3 linked regions of the Macaca mulatta genome follow. The protein of the gene in region 1 interacts with the protein of each later gene in a pairwise test. Links are inferred from orthologs where the notes say so. Each region holds a gene or a part of one and is shown on either strand. Other genes may lie near its edges.

What was found.
Region 2: the proteins of GPR25 (region 1) and FATE1 interact in binary tests that used the Homo sapiens proteins (3 or more experiments, as listed by UniProt). The two-hybrid records come from large-scale screens. The link is inferred for Macaca mulatta from reciprocal best matches to the Homo sapiens genes GPR25 and FATE1.
Region 3: the proteins of GPR25 (region 1) and VAPB interact in binary tests that used the Homo sapiens proteins (3 or more experiments, as listed by UniProt). The two-hybrid records come from large-scale screens. The link is inferred for Macaca mulatta from reciprocal best matches to the Homo sapiens genes GPR25 and VAPB.

What each region holds. Positions count from the first base shown.
Region 1 is NC_133406.1:58,519,792-58,524,067, forward strand, and holds GPR25 (putative G-protein coupled receptor 25), read left to right. Parts: upstream 1-1,475; 5' UTR 1,476-2,431; coding exon 2,432-3,517; 3' UTR 3,518-4,199; downstream 4,200-4,276. UniProt on the Homo sapiens protein: Orphan receptor.
Region 2 is NC_133426.1:157,951,729-157,955,862, forward strand, and holds the start of FATE1 (fetal and adult testis-expressed transcript protein), read left to right. Parts: upstream 1-1,333; 5' UTR 1,334-1,421; coding exon 1,422-1,527; intron 1,528-2,569; coding exon 2,570-2,697; intron 2,698-4,134. UniProt on the Homo sapiens protein: Involved in the regulation of endoplasmic reticulum (ER)-mitochondria coupling. Negatively regulates the ER-mitochondria distance and Ca(2+) transfer from ER to mitochondria possibly implicating it in the regulation of apoptosis.
Region 3 is NC_133415.1:111,191,628-111,195,777, reverse strand, and holds the start of VAPB (vesicle-associated membrane protein-associated protein B/C), read right to left. Parts: upstream 2,802-4,150; 5' UTR 2,624-2,801; coding exon 2,566-2,623; exon of another isoform or gene 2,517-2,565; intron 2,467-2,516; exon of another isoform or gene 338-2,466; intron 1-337. UniProt on the Homo sapiens protein: Endoplasmic reticulum (ER)-anchored protein that mediates the formation of contact sites between the ER and endosomes via interaction with FFAT motif-containing proteins such as STARD3 or WDR44.

The DNA.
Region 1 (4,276 bases):
CTCCCACCTCAGCCTCCTGAGTAGCTGGGACTGGTGTGTGCCACCATGCCTGGCTAATTTTTGTAGTTTTAGTAGAGACGGGGTTTCACCATGATGGCCAGGCTGGTCTCGATCTCCTGACCACAAGTGATCTCCCCGCCTCGGCCTCCCAAATTGCTGGGATTACAGATGTGAGCCACTGCGCCCGGCCTCTAAGACCATTTTCCAAATCCTTCCTGGGGATCTCCGTGTGCTAGAGGGACCCCAAGTGAGGGTGACCTTATGTCCCAGTTTGCCCAAAATAGTCCTGGTTTATGGCCCAGGTTAATTCTCATAGTGCCCCTTTCACTCTCAGAAACATCCTGATTTAGATGATAAATTATTTCATGACTACCTCAAACCAACATCAAACTGAACACATACGCACATGCGCCTCACTGTTCTTGGCAGTTAAGGGGACAGTGTCCATATGGTCCCTAAGCGGAGAAACCCCAGGCTTATCTTTGACTCTTCTTTGTGAGACCTATGATGCTACAATTACCTCCTGAATACATCCTCTCCTTTCTGTTCCCACTGCTCATGATCTATTTCAGACACAAATAATTACAACCTACGGTGGGGTCTCCCTGGCTTGAGTCTCTCCCTTCTCCACAGTTCTGCCAGTGATCTTTTCAAAACACAGATTAATGCCTCCTGACTCCCCATGACCTATAGATTGAAATCCAAATCCCTTCATGATTCCTCCTGCTTCATCTCCTGTCCCCACTTTCCTACCCTAGGCTCTGGGAGACTGCTTGTCCCCTGAAAAGCCCACATTCCTACTCATTTCAGTATACTTGTTCCCTTCACTCCCTCCTCCGAGTCTGACCCTTTCTTCTCTTTTCTGCTGCTCTTATTTGACTTTCAGCTCATTCCTGGGACTGATCTCAAGTGTCATCTCCTAGAAGGCCTTTTCTGATTTAGCTTTCCCGTCAAAAATAATCACTCCCCCTCCACTAAACCCTAAGAGGGCTTGGCTTTTAACATTTACTACAATTTGGACTCCCGGCATGTCGGCCATTGCACATTCTGCTTATGTAACCATCTCTCCTGCCTATGCAATAAACTGCTAAGGCCAAGAATGGCATCTCTCGCAGTGCCTGAAACAGTGCCTGCTTCATGGAGGAGTTCATTGTTAACAAGTCTGAATCGAACAAAATTGATAATCCACCTCAAATTTTCCACACCAGGTTGCCCGGCACATCAGCCACTCATTCCTGGGGACACTGGGGACAGACTCAGAGGGCACTGTGACATCAGTTCCACCACAATATCTTGTGGAAGGGATATCTGCTAAGAAGAATTCAGATGTAATTGGCTGCATGCCTCCTTCAGGAGGAAGAGCAAGCATTCCCTCCCCCATCCTCTCCTCCTAAGGGCCCACCGCCCACTCAGGGTCAGACTTCATTCCCCCTCTTCTTTAGGTATCCTCCCCTTACTCTCAGTTTCTCATTTCACAAAGGATCTTGCTGCCTCCAAGCTCCTGACTCATAATTTAGGACAACTAATCTGGTGTTTCATTAGGTGTCATCTTTTGAACTGAGCTTACATCTGCGTCTGGCTTAATAGATAGCTTTTTTAGGCTGGGAGAAGACAGGGAAGAGGCAGATGTGAATCCCAGGCTTGGCCCCTGTCCAGCAGGATGATCTGACTACACCCCTTCCTAGATGCCTTAAAACCCTTCCACTCCGCTTCATGAGGACCTGTTTGGGTCAGAGAAGCCACTCACAGGGTGAAGACACAAACCCCACATTTCAGGATGCTAACAACGGTTTGAGTGCCCAGGGCGGGCTCCCCGACCCACCCAGATCTGCTGTGTCCCGGCAGTGGACTCTTTCCTAGGGAACAGGTGGATTTGGGGGGGGGGGGCGTGCCTTAGGCCCCATACTCATAAAATCCCCTGTCTTCTCCCCTCTAAAACAGAGAAAACAGCAGCCGGTGGGTGCAGGTGGGAAGGGGTGAGGTGGAGGCTGAGAAGAGATTAGGGCTCTCTGGCACCCACCACCTCTTGCAACACGACCCTGAGGCAGTGGGGCAAGTATCCCGATTTCACGAACAAAGAAACTGAGCAACTAATAGAGGAATGGGCCACGCTCCTACTGGGAGGCGGGGCAGGTCTCCCAGCCCTGAGGACTTTTCCTCCCAAGACTTAGTTGTGAAGCCCCTTTTGCCTATCCCAGCCCTTACCCCTCGGGTCAGCCCCAAATCGGAGGCCACCATCTCTCCCACAGGAGCCTGCCCCTCCCACCCCATCCCCTCCTCCCTCCTGTCTTTCCTGCCCACCCATTTGCTCGAGCTGGGGTGGCAGGAAGGGAGGTGCACGACACGGGCATGAAGAGCAAACCCCCTCCTGCTCAGAGCTGCTGCCGCCTGAGCCCAGGGCTGCACCCAGCGCAGGCCTCGTGGCCAGGCCATGGACCCCACAGAGCCCTGGAGTCCCAGCCCGGGGTCAGGGGCCTGGGACTACTCGGGATTGGACGACCTGGAGGAGCTGGAGCTGTGTCCGGCCGGGGACCTGCCCTACGGCTATGTCTACATACCTGCACTCTACCTGGCGGCCTTCGCCATGGGCCTGCTGGGCAACGCCTTCGTGGTGTGGCTGCTGGCCAGGCGGCGCGGCCCACGGCGGCTAGTGGACACCTTCGTGCTGCACTTGGCGGCCGCTGACCTGGGCTTAGTGCTCACACTGCCGCTGTGGGCCGCGGCGGCGGCGCTAGACGGCCGCTGGCCGTTCGGCGAGGGCCTCTGCAAGCTCAGCAGCTTCGCGCTGGCGGGCACGCGCTGCGCGGGCGCACTGCTGCTGGCTGGCATGAGCATGGACCGCTACCTGGCCGTGGTGAAGCTGCTCGAGGCGCGGCCCTTGCGCACCCCGCGCTGCGCGCTGGCCTCGTGCTGCGGCGTCTGGGCCGTGGCGCTGCTGGCTGGCCTGCCCTCCCTGGTCTACCGGGGGCTGCAACCCCTGCCTGGGGGCCACGGCAGCCAGTGCGGGGAGGAGCCCTCCCACACCTTCCAGGGCCTCAGCTTGCTGCTGCTGCTGCTGACCTTCGTGTTGCCCCTGGTCGTCACCCTCTTCTGCTACTGCCGCATCTCGCGCCGCCTGCGCCGGCCGCCGCACGTGGGTCGGGTCCGGAGGAACTCGCTGCGCATCATCTTCGCCATCGAGAGCACGTTCGTGGGCTCCTGGCTGCCCTTCAGCGCCCTGCGGGCCGTCTTCCACCTGGCGCGTCTGGGGGCCCTGCCGCTGCCGTGCCCCCTGCTGCTGGCGCTGCGCTGGGGCCTCACCATCGCCACCTGCCTGGCCTTCGTCAACAGCTGCGCCAACCCGCTCATCTACCTCCTGCTGGACCGCTCATTCCGAGCCCGGGCGCTGGACGCGGCCTGCGGGCGCACCGGCCGCCTGGCGCGAAGGATCAGCTCGGCCTCCTCGCTCTCCAGGGACGACAGTTCCGTGTTCCGTTGCCGGGCCCAGGCCGCGAACACTGCCTCGGCCCCCTGGTAGCTGCCCCGGGCCGCTGGAGGTGGGCGACAGCGGAGCACCGAGAGGAGGGGAGAAGTCCCGGGAGGGGACCCAGATGCGCCTGTTCTGGCGGCAGCAAGCTGCTCCGGCCGGCATCGCATTGCCTCGCGCGCTGCCTGGACTCCCAGGGTCTCCTCCATCAGCTTCCCCGGAACCTCAGAGCAATTGAACTCCCCTAAACCAGGCTCCTGAGACTAGCTGTTCCCTGTCAGCCTGCAGGGTACAAGATAAGTGCTATGAGATGGAGCAGACAGCAACTCGGAGACCCGCAGATTCACCAAGAAGACAGAAGGGAAGGGGATTTCCTTCTCTGCCTCATTGGGAAGAGCACTGACCAGAAATCGAACCCAGACCCCTAAATGCCATTCTGGTTTCTGGCTGTGCTTTCTCCCGTCTCCCACAATAGCTTTTGCTTTCAGAGAAATACCTTCTCCAAGTCAGGCCCTCTGCCCTTCTCACTCACAAAACCCTGGTGTTGAATCTGGTGACACTTCTCCCCCTACGAAGCGGTAGGACTCACCTGGAAGTTGTTCTGGTCTTTCCCTCTCAACAGAAGGTCCTGAAATCGCTCACCAGGCGTTTCTTAAGGTCTCCACCACTCAGCCAGGAACCTCAAAATCTTCTCTGTGAATTCATCTTTCTCAATAAACAGACACTCCTGCTAGCCCTGTCTTCACAGTCGTCTTTGCTTGCGCAGTGGGAGTGAAATGCGTATCAGGAGGCGGGTCGCACACTGGGTGA
Region 2 (4,134 bases), on another chromosome or scaffold:
TTCCTTCCTTCCTTCCTTCCTCTTTTCCTCCTTCCTTCTTTCCTTCCTTCCTTCCTCCCTTCCTCTTTTCCTTCCTTCCTTCCTTCCTTCCTTCCTTCCTTCCTTCCTTCCTTCCTTCCTTCCTTCCTCCCTTCCTCTTTTCCTCCTTCCTTCCTCCTCTTTATCCCACCTGACCCAAGGGCTCTGGGGGAAGAAGAGGCTATTTCTAAAAGGAACGTTTTATAAACCTGTCCTGATTCCTTTCACAAATAGCCTCCTATTCCCCCAGGGGCTCTGGGGTTGTTTCCTAGAATGAAGGGTTCACCATAGGTCGTGTAGCAATCAGTGTTTTCCAGAGAAACAGAACTGATAGGATGTATATATGTATGTATGTATGTATGTATGTATCTGCATATGCACAAGTATATATACATTTATTTTAATAAATTGACTTATGCAATTGTGGGGCTGACAAGTCTGAAATGTGCAGGGCAGCCTGGCAGGCTGGCAACTCAAAGAAGAGTTGACACTGCAGTCCTGGGGTAGAATTACCTCTACTTTGGGAAACCTCAGTCTTTGCTCTTCAGGCCTCTCAGTTGATTGTGTGAGACCAACCCACATCATCGAGGATGTGTCTCTACTTTACTTCAAGTCCACTGGTTGTAGATGCCAACCACAGCTACAAAATGCCTCCACAGCAACACCTAGACTAGTGTTTGAAGGAGTCACTGGGGACTAGAACCTGGCCAGGTGACACATAAACCTGACCATCACAGTGGTCTAATCAGTAGGGAAACTGAGGGAGAATTGGGACTTAGAAGGTGCAAGGCCTGAGGCCCCTGGGAGTTCTAGTGGCTGCAGTCAGGTCCCACCTCTCTTACCCTTCTCTCCCTTTGTTCTCATGGCTCCTGCCTAGTCTGACCTACTTCAGAAAAAGGCTACCTCCCATGTCTGGGGACTCTGGATGGGGGAGGTAGGATATGCTCTCCAGAGAATCCCTTCTGAAGGTGTGGTATGGCCTGGATTGCTAGGACCTAACTCTGCTGTAGCCACTGCCTGGCTCTTGGACCCTGTGCCAATCCCTGTTTCTTCATAGAAATGATGGAGGGTAGACCCCACCCTTCCCCCCATGGGCTAAATATGGAGATTTATGAGCCAGAGCAGTTCTCACAGTCAAAGGCATGGAATTGTATCTCTTCTCCTAAGTTGCTTACAGAGTAGCAAGGAGAAGGCCACGGACCTAGCCAACAAGATACAATAGAAACAGAAAGTGCTGAGTCCAAGGCCTCAGCCTAGAGAGGGAGTCTTGCTCCACCCCCAGGTCTGACTATATCTTCCTTGAGCTCCTGTTCCAGGAAGAGGTGATTTTCTGAGTGTGACTCCTCTGTTCCTGGCACCCTGTACATCCTTAGCCATAGCTTACAAGTGAACAGCTGGTTGTGATGGCAGGAGGCCCTCCCAACACCAAGGCAGAGATGGAAATGTCCCTGACAGAAGAACTGAATCATGGACGCCAAGGGCAAAACCAAGAGCACCTGGTGATAGCGGGTGAGGATCCCCTAAAATACCCCTAGGCTACAGCCAACTGTGTAGATACATGTCTGTACCTGTGCATGTGTGTGTTGGGAAAGGTGCATGTGTGCATGGAAGTGTTTGCACATCTGTGTGTTGGGCGGGCTTTGAGGATTTGTGGGTTGATGGTAAGGGATCTAGGAGAAAAGGGATAGATGATGTGAGCATTTTGCCCTGGGAGGGAGGAGGATGGGAACAACATGTGTGGTCCCTCTGTCTTCCCCTTGTCCAAGCCACCACAGTGTCTGTTGCAAAATACTCAGAGGGCTCAAATTATGAGACCAGAGATCAATTCTCTCTCCCAACCCTCGAATTCATTTTCCTGCCATTTGGAGGAAAATCCAGACTCCATGATCTATAAGATTGTATCAGCCTCCTCAAAACATTTCATACTATGATATAGACAGAAAATACCATTTCTATAGCACACAAAGGGATCCAGATCACATTGCATTTATGTTTGTTCTTACAATGCTCCAAGCCTGCTTCTTCCCCAAAGACCTTGCATTTGCTGTTTCCTCTGTCTGGAATGCTCTTTCCCTCAATTTCCCAGGGCTGGGTCCTTTATTTTTTTCAGGTCCCTGCCTCAATTGTTGTCTCCTACTTTTCTAGAAGGAGCCCTTTCCTTCCACTATGTTACCCTGTTTTGATCATTTATGGAGCCTGCATCTCTCTGTCTGCATTTGCAAGGATAGACCTTCTGTTTTACACCTGTCATTCACTCTTATACACAAAACAGATGGTCAGTTCCTTGATAGCTGGAATCTTGTTCTTGGTCATTGCTCTCTAGATTACTGGAGAGTAACCTAGTCTCGAGCTGAGCCCTCAGGATTCTTGTTTAACTTTTGAACAGATGAACAAACTGAGACCTGGGATCAGCTGGTGGACAGTGGTTAATGGGTGCTGAGTGATTCCCAAGAAAGCTGGGGACTCTGTCTTCTTTTTGGTGTGTTTTGTGCCCAAGAAGCCCTGGTACAACTTCTATGGGTGCTCCTGGGGTCTCTGTTCTTCTCTCTAGAAATGATGGAGCATGGATCTCGGTCCCTGGGTGCCTCCCAGAAGAGGCAGAAGTTGGAACAAAAAGCTGCTGGCTCTGCTTCAGCGAAACGAGTTTGGAATATGACTGCCACCCGATCCAAGAAAATGGTACTGCATGGGGTCCTCAGCACATGTTGGCCAGGTTGGGGTTGGGAGTACTGGTTGTAGGGGCTGTAGCCTGACCAGGTCAGGCAGGGCTAGACATTGACTTGTGAGGAGGAGGAAGCTCCTGTATTCCAAGCTGGCAAATGAGGACAGAAAGGTCAGGGTCATCCTTTCCTATGCTTGGGATGCAACCTTGGGAGTTCAGAACGCCTGAAACAAATATTGCATGGGGAGTACATAAATATTTCACTCTGTAAATCCATTGTGTGAAATAACGCTTCCTGTATTTAAAATTGTGTGTGTGGTGCGTGTGTGTGTATACACACAATAACTCAGGTGAGGCTCCTACGCTTTCTGGCTGTTAAGAAATCCAGTCAAGTCGTCTGGCATGGTGGCTCATGCCTGTAATCTGAGCACTCTGGCAGGAAGAGGTGGACGGATCACTTGAGGCCAGGAGTTGGAGAACAGTCTGGCCAGCATGGTGAAACCTTGTCTCTACTAAAAATACAAAAATTAGCTGGGCATGGTGGCACATGCCTGTAATCACAGCTACTCAGGAGGCTGAGGCATGAGAATCGCTTGAACCTAGCAAGCAGAGGTTGCAGTGAGCTGAGATCATGCAACTGTACTCCAGTCTGGGCAACAGAGCAAGAGAAAGAAAGGAAGAGAGAGAGAGAGAGAGAGAGAGAGAGAGAGAGAGAGACAGAGAGAGAGAGGGGGAGAGAGAGAGAGAGAGAGAGAGAGAAGAAGGAAGGAAAAGGAAAAGAAAGGAAAGAAAGAAAGAAAGAAAGAAAGAAAGAAAGAAAGAAAGAAAGAAAGAAAGAAAGAGAAAGAAAGAAAGAAAGAAAGAAAGAAAGAAAGAAAGAGAAAGAAAGAAAAAAGAAATCCAGGAAAGTGAATCTGACCATTTTGTAGCCAGTCCTTTTAAGCTACATTCGATATGGGTGAAGGAATGTTTTAGAATAAATAGTGGCTATACTGTTGCAAATGATATTGGGAAAACACAGTCATTTTGGATGGGGAGGGAAGCCTGACTATTCTAGAGAATTAAGTGAGTCCCACAGTTCTGTAGCCAATCATTTTAGCTAGCTAAATTCACTGTGAGTAAGGGAAAGTTTTACAAAAATTGTTGTTATGCTGTTGCAAAGGCTGCTGGGAAAAGGCAACAAGATTGGAGAGGGAGGGAGGTCTGACTGCTCCAGGAAATCATGTGAGTCCCACAGTTCTGTAGCCAATTCTTTAAGCTACATTCATTGTGGGTGTTGAATCTTCTAGAAAAATGCTGGCCACATTGTTGCAAAGGATACTGAGCCATTTTGCAGAGGAGGTAGACCTGACCGTTTTAGGGAATCATGAATCCCATAATTGCGTAGCCAATGTTGTTCACCACATTCAGGTGGATGAGGGAAAGCGTTAGAAAATGGTGGTTTTACTGTTACC
Region 3 (4,150 bases), on another chromosome or scaffold:
AAGGAGAAGCAACACAATTTTAACTTGGACACTGGCTGCATCTATGCATAAAGGGACTGAGGTCTGACTCCTGTCTACTCACCAGCCTTGTCTGCCATCTTGCCGGGCAACCACAACAAATTTTCTTTGTTGCTGTCATTCACAACTACTAGTGGTGGCTGGGCACAGTGGCTCACGCCTGTAATCCCACCACTTTGAGAGGTCAAGGAGGGCAGATCACTTGCGGTCTGGAGTTTGACACCAAACTGGCCAACATGGTGAAACCCCGTCTCTACTGAAAATACATTTTTAGCCAGGCGTAGAGGCACACGCCTGTATATAATCCCAGCTACTCAAGAGGCTGAGGCAGGAGAATCGCTTGAACTTGGGAGGCGGGGGTTGCAGTGAGACAGCACGTCTCTGCACTCTAGCCTGGGTGACAGAGTAAGACCTGCATCTCAAAAAAAAGAAAAGAAAAAGAAAAAAAAGAACTACTGGGCATCCCAAAGGAGCCCAGTCATCTCAGTGTTTGTGCCTCTGTGCATGCAATTTCCTCTGTCTGAAATGTTCTCACCCTTTCCTTCTTTGAGCCTTCTTCTACTCAACCTTTATAACTGAGCTCAAATGACACCTCCTTCAGGAGCTTACCTCCTCAATGCTCCTGGGGCACTCTGAACTACCCTACATCATTGTCCTGTCCTGGCTGTTGTTCTCATCTGTCCCCTTCCCTAAAGTACTGGGAGGAGGTTGAGGGAAAATGGGAGAGTACAGCTGATATGACTTGGCTTCTCCGGGTGTCTGACACACAGATCAGGTACTCAGTAAATGTTTGTGGACTAACCGAATGAACCCACCAATTCTCAGGAGAAGCCAAGCCAGGCCTCCCAGACAGAAAAAGAACTTCAGACAACTCAAGTGGAAACCATGGCTCACCACTTTAGCCACCTGGCCTCCTTTTCCAATCTGGCGTTCCCAGAAAGCCATGAGCGCATCATGAAACCTCAAGTACTATCCTGGAATTTCGATCCCCGGTAGGTTTGGTGGGGTTTTTTTGTTTTTTTCATTTTAATTGGAAAGCCTTTGGTTCTCTGTAAATTCAGAGTTATTTCACATTGTTAACTTGGAAGGCAAAGTGACAGCCACCGTTCTGGAGTATTTCCCAGCGATCAGACAGCGTAACGGTTAACAGCGTGAACTCTGAAGTCTGGGTTCAAATGTACCACTTGCCAACTGGGTAACTTTGCATAAGTTACCCTACACTACTTCCCAATAGGACATATAAACTGAAGAACCTCTGGCCATTCATTAATACCAGCTGAACATCTACTGTGAGCCCGCTGCTAGCGATATAGTGGAGACCTGACCTTCCAATCTACAGTACACTTCCATGGAGTCAAACTGTTCCATTTCCTACACAGCACTTAGCACTATCTGCAAAGATCACGTGTGCTGGTTTGCCTGTCCTCGTCGGAAGGTAAGCTCTATGAGAACAGAGGCCTTGTCTGTCTTGTTCATCCATCACCTCCCCAGTGCCTTCCACGGATCTGTAACGATGTTGTGTGCTGGTTTGTCTGTCCTCGTCGGAAGCTAAGCTCTCTGAGAGCAGAGGCCTTGTCTGTCTTGTTCATCCATCACCTCCCTAGTGCCTTCCACATCACTGGATACAAGCAAAAAGAAGGAATGAGCATGTCAGACCTTTTACCTCGTGGCCCTGGTGAAGGTAGGAAAAAAAAAAAAAAAAAGAACAACATAGAAAACATAAAGGCACAAATTACAGAGATAATAGTGTCTGGGAGAAACCAGGGTCATGGTTTCCCACCACCGCAGGTGTTGCTCCAGGCAGCTCTGCGGAGCAAAAGGATCCCAGCACCTTGGCAGCCTCCCTCAGCTGCATCCAGGAGGCACCATGAGGGAGGCAGTGAACGGAAAATGGGACCAATCCCATCAGAAGGCCTGAGGAGGTTCATTTGTTGGTTCAACAGGTATTTCCTAGGCGTCTAATGTGTGCTGGGTACACAGCAGCGAACTGACAAGAGCCTGTCCTCATGCAGTTTCCTTTCTAGTGTTGAAACAGTGATTTTGAGTACGAAAAGTGCGGTGCTGACCACGAAACAGTGACAGAATGGGGACAGCAGGAGAGCAGGTGTGCACGGTGGGCTGGGTGGCCACAGCAGGCCTCTCTGGGCAGGTGATACCTCAACTAAACCCTGAGGTCAACACTGTCACAGAGCAGGGGAAGAACCTTCCAGGCAACAGCAGCGGCGGAGGCTCACACTAAAGTGATCACAAACTGGTCACTAAGTTACAAGGCAAAGTGACAAGTGCCTCGAAGGCAAGTCCCAGGAGGCTGGGGGTCGGGGAGGAGGCAGAGGCCCTAGCTCCTGCACCAGCCCTCTCGGGTCCCGGCCGCTCCGCGCATTTCTGGGGCGCGCGCTGAGCGCCAAGGCCCGGCCCGGCCTCGCCGGCCCCCACGACAGCGCCGTCGGGGTGGGGACGAGGGCCGACGTCACCCGCCGCGCCGGACTCCGTCCCTCCAGCACTGGGGCGGGGGCCGCAAGCATGAAGGTGGCGGCCTCTGGGGCTTACCTCGGAATTTGAGCTCGTGCTGCGGCTCGAGGCTCAGGACCTGCTCCACCTTCGCCATGTTCCTCAGCGGCGGAGCACCTTTGGCGGGGAGACCCCTGAGAGGTCACCGGGGCGGGAAGCGTTAATGCCGCGCCCGCTTTAAGTTTTACAAAAAAGGGGGGACCAGTCGGGGCACGGGTGAGAGTCTTCGACGGGGTGCGCGCGCTGGGGGGGGTCGTTCTACGCGGTGCAGGCTCAGGGGCGGAGGGCGAGGGCGAGGCCGCGGTGCCCGGCGAGCTGACGGCACGCACGCACGCACGCACGCACGCACAGGCGTACACACGCACGCACGCAGCAGGCTGGCCCGCTCGGGCGGCGGGAAGCTGCGCCCTGCGCCGCCAGCTCCAGGGGCGGGGACTAAAGCTGCGCGCGTGGAGCCCCACCCGGGACAGTGCGCAGGCGCGGTACAAGCCACGGGGGCGGAACTGCAGGGCAGCAAGGGGCGGGGCTTCGCGCTGCTCAGGAGGCGGGGTTTGTAGTCCGGCTACGACTGCAGCCGCGAAAACTATTAAGGGTCCGCTGGGGGCCAGCCTCGTGTTAAATGCTTTATTCAGTAACAACAATTAGAATAAACTTCCACTTTTCTCTTGCTTATGTAGTGCCAGGCACTGTTAGAGACTTTGAATAATAGTCAAAGTACTTAGTATAAACATGATGTTTATGGGTGAGTGATATGGGCTAAGCACTGTGACGTCTTGTAAATAATAATTATAAATATAATAAACTACCAATTATTGCTTATTTCGTATCACTCTGCTGAATGCTTCCAATGACAACAGCAGCTACAATAAATACAAGCTACTCTACGTTAAATGTTTATTAGGCAACTGGCACTGTGCTGAATTTTTACTAGTAAATTCGATTTGTTTATGCAATAAATATTTAGAAATACAATGATCAGAAAAGCTAACCTGATTCCAATCCTTTTACTGTAGCCTAGTGAAGAGACATTTTGAATAAATAACCACACAAGTAAGTTAAATAATTAAAAATTGCTGGAGAATCCAGATCTGCTTGACCTCAAAAATGGATACTCTACATCATGATTACCGTTTAAATTGTATTTCATTATATTATGTTCACTGTGAAAGTAAAGTAGGTGTTCTTAATAGTCTCCTATACATACCAATATAGGTGAAACAAACATGGCAAATTGCTAACAATGGCTGACTTGACATCGCAGGTACATGGTTTTCTTGTACTGTTTCTCCCACTTTTCTGTATACTTGAAATTTTTCATGATAAACAGATTTCTTGGAAGAATAATCTTTGTATTTTAACTGTAGCATTTAGTCCATTTACATTTATTATATTTACTAATATATCTGGAATTATTTCTACCATCGTATTTTGTTATTTCTACTTGTCCTGCCTGTTTTGTTTTTCTTTTTTTTTTCCCCTTTCTTCTTTGGGGTTTATTTTTATTCTCATTCTTATTTTCTTCACCTACATACTCTATTTCTAAGTTTTAGTGGTTACTTGAAAATTTTGGGCATGCATGCTTACCTTGTGAAAGTCCAGTATGTTTAAATATTTGTAAAAATGT